Linked DNA regions of Chlamydomonas reinhardtii. The protein of the gene in region 2 interacts with the protein of the main gene of each other region in a pairwise test. Links are inferred from orthologs where the notes say so. Each region holds a gene or a part of one and is shown on either strand. Other genes may lie near its edges. The genes, in order: CHLRE_01g030150v5 and CHLRE_01g023150v5.

What was found.
Region 1: the proteins of CHLRE_01g023150v5 (region 2) and CHLRE_01g030150v5 interact in binary tests that used the Arabidopsis thaliana proteins (3 or more experiments, as listed by UniProt). The link is inferred for Chlamydomonas reinhardtii from reciprocal best matches to the Arabidopsis thaliana genes MCM5 and ETG1.

The regions. Positions count from the first base shown.
Region 1 is NC_057004.1:4,442,581-4,451,205, forward strand, and holds the start of CHLRE_01g030150v5 (uncharacterized protein), read right to left. Parts: upstream 4,863-8,625; 5' UTR 4,716-4,862; coding exon 4,572-4,715; intron 4,474-4,571; coding exon 4,405-4,473; intron 4,292-4,404; coding exon 3,479-4,291; intron 3,275-3,478; coding exon 3,155-3,274; intron 2,934-3,154; coding exon 2,769-2,933; intron 2,553-2,768; coding exon 2,239-2,552; intron 2,023-2,238; coding exon 1,783-2,022; intron 1,634-1,782; coding exon 1,489-1,633; intron 1,210-1,488; coding exon 1,106-1,209; intron 836-1,105; coding exon 385-835; intron 259-384; coding exon 145-258; 3' UTR 1-144. Other genes in the region: CHLRE_01g030200v5 (uncharacterized protein), read right to left, coding at 6,345-6,437, 6,657-6,816, 7,063-7,173, 7,306-7,463, 7,618-7,799, 7,865-8,027, 8,105-8,215, 8,285-8,383 and 2 more. UniProt on the Arabidopsis thaliana protein: Associated component of the MCM complex that acts as a regulator of DNA replication. Binds to the MCM complex during late S phase and may act by promoting the disassembly of the MCM complex from chromatin. Required for sister chromatid cohesion.
Region 2 is NC_057004.1:3,591,315-3,599,469, forward strand, and holds the start of CHLRE_01g023150v5 (uncharacterized protein), read right to left. Parts: upstream 4,802-8,155; 5' UTR 4,581-4,801; coding exon 4,565-4,580; intron 4,494-4,564; coding exon 4,331-4,493; intron 4,092-4,330; coding exon 3,977-4,091; intron 3,671-3,976; coding exon 3,587-3,670; intron 3,336-3,586; coding exon 3,210-3,335; intron 3,009-3,209; coding exon 2,793-3,008; intron 2,485-2,792; coding exon 2,356-2,484; intron 2,080-2,355; coding exon 1,976-2,079; intron 1,733-1,975; coding exon 1,588-1,732; intron 1,414-1,587; coding exon 1,243-1,413; intron 1,055-1,242; coding exon 935-1,054; intron 717-934; coding exon 531-716; intron 357-530; coding exon 102-356; intron 1-101. Other genes in the region: CHLRE_01g023200v5 (uncharacterized protein), read left to right, coding at 5,611-5,693, 6,086-6,098, 6,266-6,449, 6,637-6,707, 6,926-7,021, 7,227-7,519, 7,789-7,990. UniProt on the Arabidopsis thaliana protein: Probable component of the MCM2-7 complex (MCM complex) that may function as a DNA helicase and which is essential to undergo a single round of replication initiation and elongation per cell cycle in eukaryotic cells.

The DNA.
Region 1 (8,625 bases), about 850 kb from region 2:
GGGTTGGCGTGTTGACACCAGCTGGCATGCTCTCGTACAGTCTCGCGCATCAGTTGCGGCCGCTGCAGCCGCTCAAACTGTCCCCATGTCGCTTGCATGGGGTTCGATGTGAATGTAGAAGCGGGAGGGCTCGGACTTCTTGCCTCAGCCCACCACCCGCAGCCGTGCCTCCCGTGTGTGCTCCAACTGCAGCAGCTGCTGCCAGCGCTCGCGCGTCAGCCGCGTCTCGCCGTGGCTCAACACCAGCAGCCGCGCCAGCTGTGCAGGGCCATGGGCGACGGGGGCGACACGGGGTCAGGACCGGCGCAAGGCCGCGGGCGGGTTTCATTGCCTAACAGAGACCGGATTACCGCGGCAGACACCCATTACTAATCACCCTCTCACCGTGAGCTTTAGATGGAACTCCTCCGGAGTCATGCCGCCATCCGCCGCGCCACCCTGCCCCTGCTGCGGCCCCTGCCCCTGCTGATGCGCCTGCGCCGCGCGGCGCTGGCCCACGAACCACTGCTCCAGCACCTGCGCCATGCCCTCCGCCAGCTCATACCCCTGCTCGGCACGCGCCGCCGCCAGGTACGACCGTACCGCCGCCAGATCCACGTCAGCCGCCGCCGCCGCCGAAGCGGTGGCAGCGCCGTCACCCATGGACACGTTGGCAGTCGCCACGGGGGTCGCGGCGGGCTCGATTGCTGCGCCACCGAAGCTGGACGGCGGGCTGGTGGCGGGGCTGGCGGCGGCGGGCGGGCGGCCGCCGGAGGCCAGCACGGCCTCGGCGGAGGGGAAGGGTTGCGTGGCGGTGAGCGGCAGCCGCAGCGGCAAGCAGTCGCGCAGCAGCGACCTGCACAGGATGGGTGGTGGCGCAAGAGCTCGGTCAGCATGGTGCAACCACCGTGGAACTGTTGAACCTTGCAGGTGGTGCTGGGTGACGGGCCAACACCCCACACCTCGCAGCTTCCCTCCCAGCAACCACAGGCTAACACCTCGACAGCTTGATACGGCCATGCTGCAACCAAATCGCCAAGCCATCGCCCCCCTGCTGCGCCCCACACCGCCATTGCCCCACGACTGCGCTGGGAGTCCGGGGACACAGCTGGTCCTGGTCCCGCACCTGCCCTGCGTGAGCACGATGAGCGGCAGGTCCAGCGGCACGGGGTGCTGGAAGGTTTCGAAGTCGTACAGCAGCTCCTGCTGCCGAGCTAGCGTCATCAGCGCCTGGGGGTAGGTGAGGCAGGTGAGGAAGGGCAGCGCCGAAGGGTGATGTGGACGTAATGGTGTGCGGGGCGCGTACAGAGTAGTCTTCGGGCAATGCAGCGCTTGGTACGAAGCAACAGCGGGCAGGGCAGGGCAGGCTGGCAGAGCACACGGAGCCGGCGCAGGGGCGGCGAAGGTGTTACAACTACGTTTCCCAGAAGCACGCAAGCCCAACCCCAGTCCAGGCGTTCTCCGCTGCTGCACACCCGTACCCCCTCTCACCGCCCCACTGTTGCCCACCTGCATGCTGACCACGCCCTGGCTGCTCAGCTGGCCAGGCGCCATGACGGTCTCATCCAGCAGCAGCACAGTGCCCGGAGCCAGCTGCAGCGGCGAGGGCGCGGTGCGCTCACGGGACACGTCGCGCACTGGCGACCAGGACAGGCTGCGCGGAAGGGGCGTAGGGTCCGTTGTTTGAGGGTGAATGTCAACATCAAGGCCATGTCCCTCTCCTCCGCGCTCATACAGCATCGCAGTTGCTTCTCATGTGAACGCCCCTCCGGCCCTCCCAGGCCCTGCCGAGCCGCTTCCCACCTGTTGCAGCCCTCCACGCTGAGCGGCAGCGCCACACTGAGCGGCACCATGCACGACACAGCCGCCTGCAGCGCCGCCGCGAAGCCGCTCACGCCGCGGCCCGCCAGCAGGTCAGCCGCCAGCGCGGGGGAGCTGTGCGCCGCCGCCGCCGCCACTGCCGAGCCAACAGCACTGGCAGCGGTGGCGGGCGGCGCACTGGCACTGGCGGCGCTAGTGGCGCTGGTGACGGCGCCAGGGCACCTGCAACGCAAGGTTACATCCGGGACCCGTGTCGTGTCGGCGCAGTACCCTGACATTCCCGTCCATTTCCCACACCTATACGCCCGGCTTTGCCTATCCTCTTTGCCGAGTTTGCCCCCATGCACTGCCCCCGCTACCCTAATACGTGCCTCTCCTCGCCCCACCCCGGAAAAGTGCACATTGCAGCTCTCCGACGGCGCCCAACCACCCGCCCACCTGCTGATGTTGAGCGCCAGCTGCCCCAATGCGTTGGGGTCGCCGCGGTTGACCACGCGCGACAGCAGCTGCAGCAGCACGTACTCGGCAGCCAGGCTGTCGCCGCCCAGAGCCCAGCGCAGCAGCGCCAAAGCGCGCGCCCGCCGCGCCGCCGTGTCAGCGCTGCCGGCGGCAGGCGTCGTGGCGGCGGCAGCCTCGGCGGCTGCGGCAGGTGCAAGCGCAGCGGCGGCTGAGGCTAAGGCAGCGGCGGCGGTGGTGGCAGCCGGAACCAGGTTGGGCTGGCGGCGCACCAGGATTGCGTGCAGCCGCATCACCTGCGTGGCGGCATTGGCAGCAGGAACGCAAGGCGGGCGGACCGGGTTAGCCGTCACCTGCGCTTGGTCCCCGTCACACTTGGACCCCGTCACAAGCTATGGTGGTAAAAAGCGCTCTTTCATTGCTGATCGTGAAGACCGCAGGTGAGGCGCCCAAGCGGACAGGGTCCAAGTAAGTGGGCGTGCAAACAAGCGCGCTGCCTGCCGCAGACCAACCTTGCTGGTGGGCGGGTGGGCGGCCCGAATAGCCTCAAACGCCAATCGCTCGCCCTGTGCCGCCAGCACGCCCCGGTCGGCCGCCTCGCCCATGGCAGCATCGCCCCCGGTGCCGCTGACGCTGCGGCCGACGCCTTCGCTGCCGAGACCCAGAGACGCCAGCTCCTGCAGAGGCATGCGGCGTGTATCTCATCATCAGTGACGGCGTGGCTGCAGTCTGGATGCACGTTCATCACCAACCGCGCTCCACCAGGAGCCTGGAGTATGGTACGCGGGGCGTCGCTGAGCCCCCAACCCGCAAACCGCAGGCCTCACTAAGGCCCAGCCAAAGCCAAGCCAAAGCCCTAGCCCAACTGAAAGCCCTACGCCAAGCCCCGGGAACCCACCTGCGCCAGGTGAGGGTCCTGGTTGTCGTACTCGAGCTGCGCCAGCTGCGGCACGTGGCTCAGCACGCCCACCACCTCAACCACCTCGTGCAGTGGCAGCGCAGGCGCGTTGTCGTACAGCTGCAGGTGAGGTAGGGTAGGGCGGGAAGCGTGGGGGTTTACAAAGTGATGCTGGCCGGGAGGGGTACGGCTTGACTGGTACTGCTTGCACTGTGTGTTGCATTGGAGCACGCAGTCCCACATGAGTCACAAACTTGCTCTCGCATCGGCAAAGTGCGGTTGCTATCACTGACATATTCAAGCTTTGCTCGGCAAGTAACTCACATACACGATGCAGCTGCCGGGCACCTCGCTTGGCGTCGCCGCCTGCTGTGCCCCCGCATTCGCACCGGCCGGGTGCTGCGCGCAACCGTGCCCGCCAGCGCAGGTGTCACAGCCTGTCCCCGCGGGGCCCGCGGGAGCCGACGTCCCGGGGAAAGGTGCGCCGCGGTCGTTTGCGGCCTCGATGTCGCCAACAACCCTCGCGGCAGTAGGGTCCTCCCGCCGGCGCACACGAGGGCGCGCAGCGCCCTCCGCCTCACCCGGCGACCCGGCGCCTGCAGTGGCCCCGCCCGGTCCCTGGTCCTCACTGAGCCCCGTGTCGTGACTCATGCTCTCCTCACCCGCATCCGCGCCGGGAGCCGCAGCGTCGGCAGCTGCCGCAGCGGCATTGGCGCCGGCGCGCGGAGACAGCACCGCCGCACCACCGGTGCTAGCGACGCGCAGCTCAGCTGCGACGCTGTCGTGCTGCGCGTCGGCATCAGAGGAACGCTCACGTTTGGCACGGGCGGGCTGCTGTTGGGCCTGCTGCTGCTGAGCTTGCTGGGGCTGGGCCTGAGCCACCAGCGTGGTGGTGTTGGCCATCGCAGCAGGCGCGTGTACGTCCTTGGCCGGCACCGCCGGCAGCGCGGAAAGGGACCAGCTGCTGAGGCCCGGGACTGGCACCAACACGACCGGGCGGCGCTCCCAAATGATGGGCGAGGCGGATTGGGGCGCGTCATCAGGCATGTCCGGGTCACAGAACTTCGAGGTGACCCACTGCCCACTCGGCTGCTGGAAGGCCCCGACGTAGTACTCTGGGTTCAGCAAGTCTTGCACCTGCGGATGGGTAAGTAAGCTGTTTGTAATTTTCTCAAACGTAGATGCCTTTCTGCCCTCGTAAGGTAATCGCCAGGAAGTTGCCACTGCAGAACCCCGCCAAAACTGCTCACCATGCCGGTGAAGCGCACGAGGCTGTGGTGGGGGAGGCGGTCCGCCGATTGCTTGTCAAGACGCGGAATCTGTAAGATGTGAGTTCGAGCCGTTGGAATAAGCGAGCCTAGGCGCGTAGGGAGCTCGCATGTCTTTTGCGTTGTTTTGGTGGGCACTTTCAACCCACCTCGCCGTGACCCAGCCCATTGACGGCTTCCTGGAAGTACTTTACCACGCCCCAGTCACCATCGGCCTCAGCGGGGCAGCCTGCTTGCTGGTAGAGCTTCTGAATCGCCTCTACAGGACGCACTGCTATCTCTGGACTTGTCATTTGCCTAATTGATGACGAAGACAAGGCGCATTTGAGTGTGTAAGCACCTGGAGGAGAGTGGGACTAACAGGAGGGGCTTCGCGCCAAAACGCGATTGGGAAGTGAAATCGTGAACAGCTGGGAGTCCCGGCTGGTAATAAATTAATATGCAGATACATGTCAAACAATTTAAAAGGATATGCATGCAAATATGCCAACAAGCCTTTCCCGTCCCGGAGGCTTCTCCGCCAGTCTCCGCCTTTGCTGCCGCCAGCGCCCAGCCGTGCGCCCAGCCACACGTCGCTTGCACACCATGCACCCGCCCAACCCACCATCGGTGACGCGCAGGCCGTTCTTGAACACGGCCTCGATGCTGACCTTGGCCTAGTCACACAGGTCCACCTTCACCTCCTTCACCACCACCACCGCCGGCGCCGCCTGAAATAGACAGGTCCGTCTTTACATAGACAGGGCATGCCGGCATGCTCATGAAATGCTTGCATGTACACCAGGCTACATAATGTGGGTATGCTTAAGTCCCAAGTGCGCTTGCCCTGGTTGTGCCTGCTTGCCCTGGGCCAGGGGTTCCCCTGCCCTGGGCCACCAATAATGACGAGTGTTGCGGAACTAATGCCACCAGTTGCGGCGTGCATGTGCGTAGCGGAGGGAGCGAGCACATGGGGCGAGCAAGGCCACGTGGAGGAGGACAGCACGGCGTCGCCCAAGAAGCGGCGCCGGCGCGCAGGTTGAGGCCGGCCGGTGTCTGGTTAGCGGTCTTTGCTGGCAAGCATAGCACAGTATGCGGTAGGCCGTAGGAGTGAGGAGTGTTGCGGCCAGAGGATTTTGTTCATTTGGGCTGGTATTTACAACCCCCCTTGCCCTAGCCATCGAGTGACGGAGTCACGGACACGCACAGGCTTTGCACACAAATTCCGTCTTGCATTCGGAATCCACCTCAGCAATCTACCTCATATCACGCCGCACGGATCTGATCCGTCCGCTTGGCCTTTGGTGCCAGTCAGCATCCATTATGCGCTCCTGTTCTGTACAATCACAAACAAACAGCCAGGCCAGGAGTGGCCAGGCAACAATACGAACTCCCGAACCCTAACCGCGGCATGAGAGATGGCAATAACGCACGGAAATACCCATTACACATACCAGGCTACACGCGCGCACCCATGTGCATTGCGTCACTTCTTGTCAAAGCGATTGCAGCCAAAAGCCAACCTTTAGCATGCGAGGCGGTGGCGTAACACGCAATGCGCCCTAAGGCCCCACTAGTGCCCTCCCACCGATTCACCCTGCCAATTCCACCCACGTCACGCTGAGCGTTCATGCACCAGCAGGTGTTTTGGATTTTCGCACAGCCACACACACGACATGTTTGCCAGGTAGCCAACTTCGGTCCTTCGTCGAGCCACGCTTTATTACCCGAGGTGGACCCGCGTATGCACCAGAACTACATGCGCCACCCGCGTCATGATTAGTCTGTTACCACGCGCGCATTATACCAGTCACACAGTGCGTACCCTTATTGCCGCCTGCATGCGGCACATTGCTTCGGCTGTCCATGCAGCTACGCTACCCCATACGTCATGTGTGGGGCAGCGGGAGCCATGCCGCACGTGCTCCCCGCCCGTGGCCTGACTATGGGTGGACGAAGCGCACCACGACGGCGGTGATGTCGTCCACTACGCCCTCCTCCTCCGTCAGCCATCGCTGGTAGGCCTCGTCCACCAACTGTAGCGGCATGGACAGGGCAGAACAGGGGCAGAGTCAGTCGCAGATCATACGATGGCGACAGCTGGCAACCCCTTTTGAAGTGGAGCTGGCGCCGTCCTCCGGACCGCGCCACGCGCTTCCACAAGTCTTGTTCCAGATTGTTAATATCTCTATCCTGGGTTGAGACCATAACGCAGCACTAACTTCAGCGACACGACCATGGTCACGCTTGCGCACCTGGCGGCACGCCTCCTCTGCGCTCTCGTACTGCGCCACGATGTCGACCGCCTCCTTGCTCGAGATGAACTCCCAAACACCGTCCGAGGCAAGTACAATGAACTTGTCCTGCGGCGTCAGCTCCATGGTCGAGTGGTCCGGCTCCGACGTCACACCCACCCTGTGAGTCAAAAGAGTTCCACACACCCTGCATTAACACCTTCCCAACAGGGCACGTCCTGTGCACCAATCCTGCCGTCTTGGCATGTGGTATACTCATAGAACCGGGCACATTCTAGCACCTAACAACCGTCTAATCACTCCCGCAAGGCAAGGGCAACTTTTACATCCTCCTAACCATGCATGGCAGGAAAGCGGTGACGCACAGAACAGGTATCGAGCATTGACCACTTGCCCCGGGACTCACTGGTGTGCCAGGACATCACCAAGCGCCCTGCTCATGGCCAGGCCCGGAATCCACGCGTACTGCAGCCACACGCGGTAGGGGCCCATGGGCTGGCCCATCTCGTCCACCAGCCTGTACCAGCGCGGGAAGGGCCGTGATGTTAACATGGTTGGCCGCTGCCCACCTACGCATGCTTCATGCGGGATTCATTATAAAGAGCACAAGGATAACCTCCGCCAGTCCTTGTACTAGAGATTAGCTTACCGCTCCACACGGCCGTTCGCTTTGAGAATCCGCGCCTTCTCCTCCGGCGCCGTGGGTTTGTGGTCGTTGGTAAGGTCCACCGCCTCCCAGCCCTTCTTTGTCTCGCGGCCCATCACGCCACGAGAGTCACCCACCCACGCTGTCGTCAGGGTCTTGCCCTGTAGGTTGGGACAATATGATCAGGTCAGCGCCAGTCGTGGTCAGTGACCGCTGAACGCAACCCCAGCCGCACACCCGGTAGCTATACGCCCTCAAAAACCCTTCAAAACTGCTTTACCTACAGCCCTGACCCCATCACATGCCCGCGCGCACCTTCAGGTAGCTGACCACGGCCGTGCTGCCGCTGAACTCGCAGTCTATCCTGCTATTGCCCAAGGACCGGTCCACCTCGCAGAAGCCCTGAGACAGCGCCTTCTTCACGTCCTTTTCCAACGTTAGGTGGTTAACGAGTATTATCGGCAGGTGCTGCTTGACGTAGCCAGACACCAGGTGCCCTGCAAACATCGAGGGCATGCTGCGTTGCTTGGCGAACAATACCTCAATACCAGTGCCTCCTTACCGTGTGGCCCGTGACCATCCATAGCACCGAACAGAGACTGGTCCTCGGTGATGTACTTCTCAAAAGCAAAGCAATTGTCCTGGTTGGTCTTCTTGAAACCCGGCTCGCGACCAGCGCGCGACATGCATGCAACGTTAACGCGCAGAGTCCTGCGCTCCTGCTCCTGTAAAGACGAAAGCGTTGGGCATTCAGGCTAAGGGTCCTCAACACCATGCCAAGGTTGCGCATCTTTCCCCTTACCTCGGGAGCAAGCTGACCCTGGACAGCGGGTTCGTCCCCTCCCTCCATGTCCTGCTCGTCGCCACCCTCCCCTTCGCCATTGAGCTTCAGGTTGCCCGGCGAGGCGTTGGGCTGCAAGCAGAGAGTGACATGTGAGTCAGAAAGGGGACGATGCGGAAAAAACATACTCCGCGTTCTTACATCGTTTGTCACGTAGGACAGACGCCTGGCTCTCGTGTTGCCAGATTTGCCACCCGGGTTTGCAGCCGCAGGCGCAGCAGAGCCGGGTGGCGCGTTCACCTGCAAGCCAAAGCGGGCTTAGTATCGACGTAGCGCGCTGCAGACGGTCGACAAGAGCTTACCGCCGCCCCATTCGCGTCGTTCGAAATATAGCTCAGGCGACGAGCACGAGTCGTCTTTGCCTTTTGTGTCTCAGCGTCGGTCGCGGCCTTGTCGGCAGCCGAGCCTGCGGGCGCCATCAACATGCGTCTTAGCTGTGGGGGCCGCAACAGACTCCGCTGCTTAACGCACCATTCTTGGCA
Region 2 (8,155 bases):
CCGGCGGCGTATGAGGCTGGCTGCCCAAGCTGCGCACACTGTCCTGTGGTAACAACAACCACAACCCCACAACCCCCAGAGTTCGCAGGCCGAAAACCCACCTCGTTGCGGATCTCCACGTAGAAGGCCGCCAGGCGCTTGCTGGCCTCCTCGTTCAGGCGCGGGCTGCACTGGCTGCGGCAGTAGTGGATGTAGCGCTTCAGGAACTCCACGTCAGCAGCCTCGCCGCCCTTGTCGCCGTCGCCGGCGCCGTGGCCGCCGGCCTTGCCGCCGGCCGCGCTGGCCGCGGCTGCGGCGCCCAGGCGGTGGTTGTCCAGCACGTGCTTGGCGATGGCCATGTCGTGCTCTCGAGTGTCCTGTGTGCGGCACCAGGTCGAGCGTTTGAGTCAGTGCTTGGGAGTTACAGCACGAAAATCGACGTTAAGCCATGGCGCTCTCAGCTTGCAAGGCAAGCATAGCTGCAACAATAGCCGGCGGCTGCCAGGCCGTGAGAATGCCAGCACAGCCCTGCTGTGAACCCTGCCGCCCACCTTGACGATGAAGATGAGGTCGAAGCGCGACAGAATGGTGGACTGCAGGTCGATGTTCTCCTGCGCCGTCTTCAGGTCGTCGTAGCGGCCCGAGGGCGGGTTGGCGGCGGCCAGCACCGAGGTGCGGCTGCGCAGCATGGTGGTGATGCCGGCCTTGGCGATGGAGATGGTCTGCTGCTCCATGGCCTACAGAGGGTGTTGGAAAGTGCAAAGACGGAGGAGGGTCAACACCATGTGTGCAGTGTGTGCACAGGTACCGTATGTGCATGTTGGAGTTGTGAGCGGCTTGTTGAGGTTGGCAGAGCACACGTCCGTCACGACAGCACCACACCTCACACGTGCGCCCCAAGTCGCCGTCTCCGCCTTCCAGTTCCCAGTTTCCTGCCCCAGCCCCCCTTGCTCACCTCGTGGATGGCCACTCGGTCCTCCGGCCTCATCTTGTCAAACTCATCGATGCACACCACGCCGTTGTCCGCCAGCACCATGGCACCGCCCTCCAGGTAGAATTCGCGGCTGTTGGCGTCCTGTATAAGCAACAAGGCGCAAGAGTGGCGAAGGAGTGGTGGGCGTTTCGTGCATGTGGAGATCAAGGAATTCTAGCATGGGATGCTAGTCAGAAGCAGAAGCAGACCTTGCACAATTCCATGGTACAGCTTTCCGTGTTATACCTTTCTGAATCCCCATGTCCCGACGCGGCAGTCCAGTCTCTCACCTGCACCACGGTGGCGGTCAGACCGGCCGCCGACGAGCCCTTGCCGCTGGTGTACACCGCGATGGGCGCCACGCGGGAGACGTACTTGAGGAACTGCGACTTGGCGGTGGAGGGGTCACCCAGCAGCAGCACGTTGATGTCGCCGCGGCGGTTCGTGCCGTCGGGCAGTTGCTGCGGGCGCAGGCGGGGAGCGAGAGCGGCGCAGCGGGACGGGGGGATAAAGATGGGTAACATGAGCAGCGCTGACGTTGCGGTACCCATCTAGCCCTTGCCATTGGGTCATCTGACACCCTGGATTCACTATTGCGTACGCGAAGCGGCCCCCGTCCCTTCTTCCCCACACACCTTACGCGCGCCGCCAAACAGCAGGCAGGCCACGGCCTTCTTGATGTCGTCGCTGCCGTAGATGTTGGGCGCGATGCGCGCGAACAGCTCCTCGTGCAGCCCGTCCTGCTTGGCGAACTGCTCAAACTGCTGGATCTCCTCCTTGCTGCGGTGGGTGTATTTACATAGCGGTGTAGGGTGGGTTGGGTTGGCGAGTTGAGCCATGTGTAATGCGTCTAGGAGGTGGGAGGGAAGCGAGGCTGCCAGGGGGGGGAGAGTTGGACGGCAGAGACGTCGCTTGGAACGCAACTCGTTACCTGCGTCCCGCATGCCGCCCTACGGAAGGCCCAGGCCCTGCACGACGCACCGGTACCCCACCACGCACCCCGGTGCCCCTAGCCGCACTCACGTGAACTTGAAGCGGCTGTGGGCGTCTCCCGCCTCCTGCATGACCGACACCACCCGGATGTAGGGCTGCTGCAGGGTGGTCACGCCCTTGTCCATGGCCTTGCCCTGCGTGGGGTAAGGGGTGTGGGTGTGATTTCGCGTGCGTGTTCTTAAGGCTAACAGCATGTATGTGCATGTGTTTTGGGTGCGGGAAGAGGTGGTGGGCGCCCAAGGGGCCAGCGTGGGTTTGGATGGGGTTGGCACCACACCGGATGCCAACTCGTGCATTGTGGTCCCCCAGGCCTGACAAGTCCTCCCTGGGTGCTGCAGCCCCGCCTGCGCCGACCCTCCGAGCCACCTCAGCCACCAACTCCAGTCCCTCCACCCATGCCCCACACCCACCCTGAAGGTTGAGTAGATGCCGGTAATGGTGACACGTGTGCCGGGCGTCACCACGCCGCAGTTCTGGCGGTCTGCCACCAGCATCACCGTGCGCGGCAGCTCGCCGGTGGGCACGTCCTCGGGCTTCTCCTGCAGGGGGCAGGGGGCGTGTGGGCGCGGGGACGCGCCAGTCAGCGGCTGCGCCAATGCAACATCCTCCAGCCTCCACTCTTGGGCCACGCGTTCCCCATCCGCGCCCTGTCCACGTTACCCCACTTCACTGGCGTGCGCCATTTTACGTCAGCCGCCCACGTCCAACCACCCCCGCTCACCCCAACGGGCCGCAGGACGTGGGACCGCTCGATCGGGCCAATGCCCACAACCCCAGGCCCCCGCCAACACCACCTCCCACGCCACCACCCCCATCACCACGCCCATCACCACCGGCACCGCCGCACCTGCAGCTTGAGCGTCTGCTGATCCACGAAGTCGCTCTGCTCGGGCAGGATGACGTAGGGGTTCTGGCCGCAGTCCTCGCCGCCGGCGCCCGGCGCACGCCTGTTGGCCAGGTCGCAGTAGCTTGGCACGTAGGCGCCGCCCATGCCGTCGCTGCAGGCCACGCGCTTGGTGCCGCGGCAGGTCTTGCACTGCACCGTCAGGTAGGTGGCCTTGTGCTGCAGGGGCAGGGGAGGCGCACCGATAGATATTAGGGAGGGACAGGCTTGGGCATGGGTGCGGCGACCGTATTGCATGGCAGCCATGCAGCCACGCAGGGTTGCCCTGGCCCGCCTACTTACGGTATCACCGTCCCCGCTTCCCTGGCCCCCCACCCCACCCCCGCTGGCGGGCCGCTTGCTCCAGCCCCGGCGCCTCACCCTGGGCTTGGACGAGGCCGTGATGATGCCTGTGAGCAGCACCAGCTTGGACACACGGCTGGACTCCAGGTCGCGGATGGACATGGCGGCGGACTGGGCCAGCGGGATGGAGCTGTACAGCAGGACCTGGGGCGGGCCGAGGAAAGGCGGGAGGAAGGGTGGACAGCGGCGACTTGGCGGGACGAGCGGGGCAAAGGTGCGAGGCACCAGAGACGCACTTGGCACTACCGGCTGCCTAGACAGGGTACGTTGCCTCTCCAGGTCCGTGGTGTCTCGGCATGCAGGCCCAGCCCTGTCCCGCCGCCCGGTGGTAGCCCGGCCCTCACCCACTTCCCTGGCTAGTTGCATGCCCCCCTGTGAAGAGACTCCTGCCTCACCTGCACCTCCGGCACGTCCGCGGGGTTGCCGTCCTCGTCCGAGGCCATTTTGTCTTGAAGCACCTTGCGGGCAGCCTCCTCAAACTGCAGCACACACACACACACGGTGCAAGTACAGGTGCAGACAGTTGGCAGTACTGGGCTACCTCCCCCTCCCCCCAGCCCCCGCACACAGCTTGGGCCTCTCTCCCTTTCCACGCAACGGTCCCCCGGATCGCTCCCCAGCTCTTACAAACTGAAGGCAACGCTGCCATGACGCGGCACCCTTACGGAACAACAATGCGCGCTCTCCGCTACCACCACCACCACCACCACCACCACCACCACCACCACCACCACCACAGTCTGTCCTGTGCGCACCCCGCCTCCACTGTCAAGGCCTCCACGCACCAGTGGCAGCACATCCGACGGCCGCTCCTCCAGCGCGTCCGCCAGCTTGGGCGCCGCGGCGCGCACATCCTTCAGGTCCACGTGCAAGTGTGAGCGGTGCTCATAAAGGTCATCGCTGTGGACATATTGGGGGAGGGGGGAAGGCGTGCGAGAGCAACGGTTGGCGGAGGGCGGGGAAACGCCGGCCAAAGCCCTTCATATGTACCACCCTATGAGCCGCTGTACCCCGGCTGATGAGCTGGCCGTTGCCTGGCAAGTGCCTACTGGCATCCCTGTATGCAGCGCTCTGGCGAGAGCTGTCGCGGCTCCCGAGCTACCGCGGCATGCCAAATGCACGCGCAGAACTCCACTCACGCGTAGAGTCGCCGCTCCTGCACATCCCTGGTTGTTCCAATTTGATATGATTGGATGAACTGCTTAAAGCCTTCCACGATGTCGCGGTCAGGCAGACCGGGGCCATCTTCAATTGGGTCCCGAGGCGCCTCTTGCCCCTGGTAGCTCACATACACCCGACCGCCTGCGATACGTGGAAGCAATACGTGTTCAGTCAGTATGTGCTGCCGAAAAGCCTAGCTGCGAGGTGCGCACCATCAAAGCCGCTCATATTTGGTCAACTCAAATACGTTTTGGTAAAGCGAGGTGTAAGGAGCGTCACGGAGGTAAGAACAAGTGTGCGTATGAGTGTGTGTCTCAATACTGTATGCATCTCCCCGATACAGCGGCATGTCAGCGATGTGCAGCCCGATTTCCCGCCATGGCCCGGCCGATTGCCGCTGAAGCCTTAATTGACCGCGTTGCCACACCCCAAGGTGCTTAAATTTGAATTACTTATTCCAGGCATGGCCGCCGGACACCTCGTTGAATGCATTCAGGCTGACATCACGTCGCATGCATTCAGGCCGGACAGCTACGTAGCGTGCTACGGCCGTCGCCGGCGTCCTGTGTAAATACTCCCGACGTCGTCCACTACAAATACAATGACTACGTCGTCCTGTATATATGGCCGACGACGTCGTCCACCATATGTGTGGTCGACGGAGACATGCCCGTGAGACATGCCCAGTGTAGTGCAGTGTCAGGGCAGGCACTCCTCCAGGGCGCGACGTCGCTTCCCCGTTACTTGCTGACACTATCAGGCTGTACGCCACGGCGGTCGCCCCCCCCCCCAGCAGCCCGGTGTCCCCGGGCTGCTTACCTTGTGCGTGGTTGTGGGAGGGGAGATGACTAGTGCCGCCGACCCCAGGGCACGCACCTGCAGGGGAGAAGTCGCAAAGCTGGAGGAGCCGCGAGTGATCCCCGGCGTTGGCGTGTGCAGCCTCTATGCCAGGCACTCATAGTGGGAACCCCCTTGTCAAGCTGGGTTCGTGCCAAGCACAGGTGGCGAGTCTTGCCCAGCTGATTATCTGCCGCCTTTCACACGGACAACAGTCGCTTTTGGTACAATTTGATGACATCAGCAGCTTATGCGGCCAAGCGTATCCGTTCAAGGCAGTCAAACTCGCTCGTGTGTCTCCTCTAAACACTCTACTTCTTGTGCAGCTCGTAGACTAGCTACAATGTCACAATTTCAACTGCAATAGCCCGTAGTACTGTGACGCCCGAGCGGAAGCGGAAGCTAGGGGCAGGCCTGGAAAATGTTTTGGGGCGATGTCGTTTACTACGTGCCCTTCGGCCCTTTAACATGTATGCTTATGGGCATCATCGGCACGGGCATATGGTGAGTCTGGCAGAGAATTGCACAAGAGAAGTTTCGGGGGAGGACTCGCGGCACCAGAATGCCCGCCAGCAGGACGGGACACACAAATATCACCCTGTGGGGCCTGGAAGCGCGTGTGCGGGAAAATGACTCCGCCAGCGCCATCCTCCACGCGGATGGTAGCAGCGCGCCTCCTCAAACACGGCAACAACACATGGGCTACCCCGCTAACCAGCGCGTTGGGCGTATTTGGCAGCGTCCATATAGGCTGCTACCAGCAAGTAGGATTGGGACATGGGCGGGGCTGGGATAGGCGGTTCTACAAGCGCATGCCTCCAACTTGCTTACCAGTCCTGCCGCCAATTGAAATGCTCGGTATCCCGCCTCCGGTTGTTCCACCCCGTCGCACGCAGGGTCCACTACACGGTAAGCTCGGGCTGCGTGCTGACCAGCAGGGCAGTTTGGAGCAAAGCGGCGCCGGGTGCAGGATGTACCGGGCCCATCCCAGTGGGCCCACTCACACCCACACCCGCCGACCCCTACCTCACCAACCGGGCCACGCTCTCTTCCCGACGCTCCTCTCCGCCCCCCAGGCGTACATGTACAACCAGGTGACCTGGGCGCTGGAGATCCTAGGCCCCACCGTGACGGCGCACGACCTGGGTCGCATGCACGAGGCCATCATCGCCACCTCGACGGTGTACATGCTCTTCGCCTTTTTCAACTTCCTGGTGGGCCTGTGGCGCAAGATCATCCAGGTCAAGCAAGACACCGAAGGTGCGTGCGTGTCATTGCGGACTGCGAAGGCCAGGAAATCCAGAGGGGGTTGATAGGAATGGCGCCAGTTGCTGTGGTAGTCTTGTAGTGAAATGTTTTGGTGTACCGATGCTTGAGATGGAGTTGTAAACTTGTCGTAAGGAGGAGCCGCTAACGCGCCTGCTTTCCTTGTCGCTCGACCCATCAGGCTATGACGCCAAGACCGGTAAAATCTACCGCATAGTGGTGCTGCTGCTGGGCTTCTCATGGTGGATCCAGGTGGGCGGGGCGGGGCGGGGCGGGGCGTGACTCTTGCGACAGTAGCACCCGCTGGATGCCTGCGGGGCCAAGTGCTTTTGTCCCGGCACAGTCAAGCCTGGCCGTGGAGGTGGTCCGTGGGTGCTGCAGCACGGCGCTGCAGTTGGCGCCCGCAGGCTTGGTAGTCGCTGACCGGCCCCGCGCCACATCGTGCCTCCCGCCCTTGCGCTCCCCCGCAGGTGGCGTGGCTGGTGCTGCTGCTGATGGGGTGCGGCATCTTCGCGGTGGACGCCTACGTGGCCTACCGCATCATGGAGAAGGTGCAGCAGAACCAGGTGCGGGCGGGGCAGTGTGTGCTTGTGTACGTGTCCACGAGCCAGCTGCGCCCAGGGAGCGGCTGTGGCCCGCCACCTGCGCCCTCGGCGCCGGGACGCCCCTGCGCCACCCTGTTTGCCCCGCGCTTTGCCCGATACCCGCCTCCGCTTGACGTGCCGCTGCCGCCACCTCCACCGCTGCCGCCACCTCCACCGCTGCCGCCAGGGCGCCATGGCGGGTGTGTACAGCGCCTGGGTGACCGGCGCCGCCACTGGCTGGTCCATAAACCCCGCCGCGCTGGCGGCCGCCGGCGGCGACCTCATCGTGGCCGTGTCGGACGGCAACGGCTGGCCGCGCGCCGTGACCTGCCCCTCCACCTGCCTCAACCTGGCCAGCTACCCCATCGTGGCGGTGGACCCGGACCAGGCGTGTGTGTGCGACCCGCTCACCATCGCACACGCCATGGAGGCGCTCAACAACGCGCTGAGTTCCACGGCCGGCATGTTCGTGGGGCTGTGGTGAGTTTGAGGGAGGGGGGTAAGGGATGGGTGGGGCAGGTGTTGTTCCAACTGCAGAAATAAGGTGTGGGGAATGGGACAGGGCACGGACCAGGTCATCAGGGGGCCGGGCAAGTTAAGTCTGGTTTGTGGCGTCGGGGTTAGAATTGAGACGGTCCCAGCGATGCCGGGAAAACGTGACGTTCACAGCACCACACCCATGCACGCATCTGTGGTTGTGCGGCTCGTTCTCATACCCTCTGGACACGGTGTGTCATGGGTCTCTGCAGGTTCATGTGGGTGTTCGGCATGTTCTTCCAGTCCATACTCACGGCCGACTTCGTGCGGTCAGACTGTGAAGCCAAGGCGCAGGAAGGCGCGCTGGGCGTTGCAGGAGGTGGAGCCAACGGTGGCGGAGCAGGGGGCGGCGGGAAAAGCTTTGGCGCGCGAGGCGCCGCAAGCTTTGGGGGGCGTGGTTATAATAAGTTATGAGAGCCTGCTACTGTGCGGGTGGTAGTAATGAATACTGCAATCGATGCAACCCCAATGTAGTGGCTGGACACGTCTGCGACAAAGCCTGCGGCTTGCCGCAGCCCCAGCTACATCCCCCAGGCCACTGCCCCAGCCGGGATGGACATGTGAGCTGTTGTCGGTATA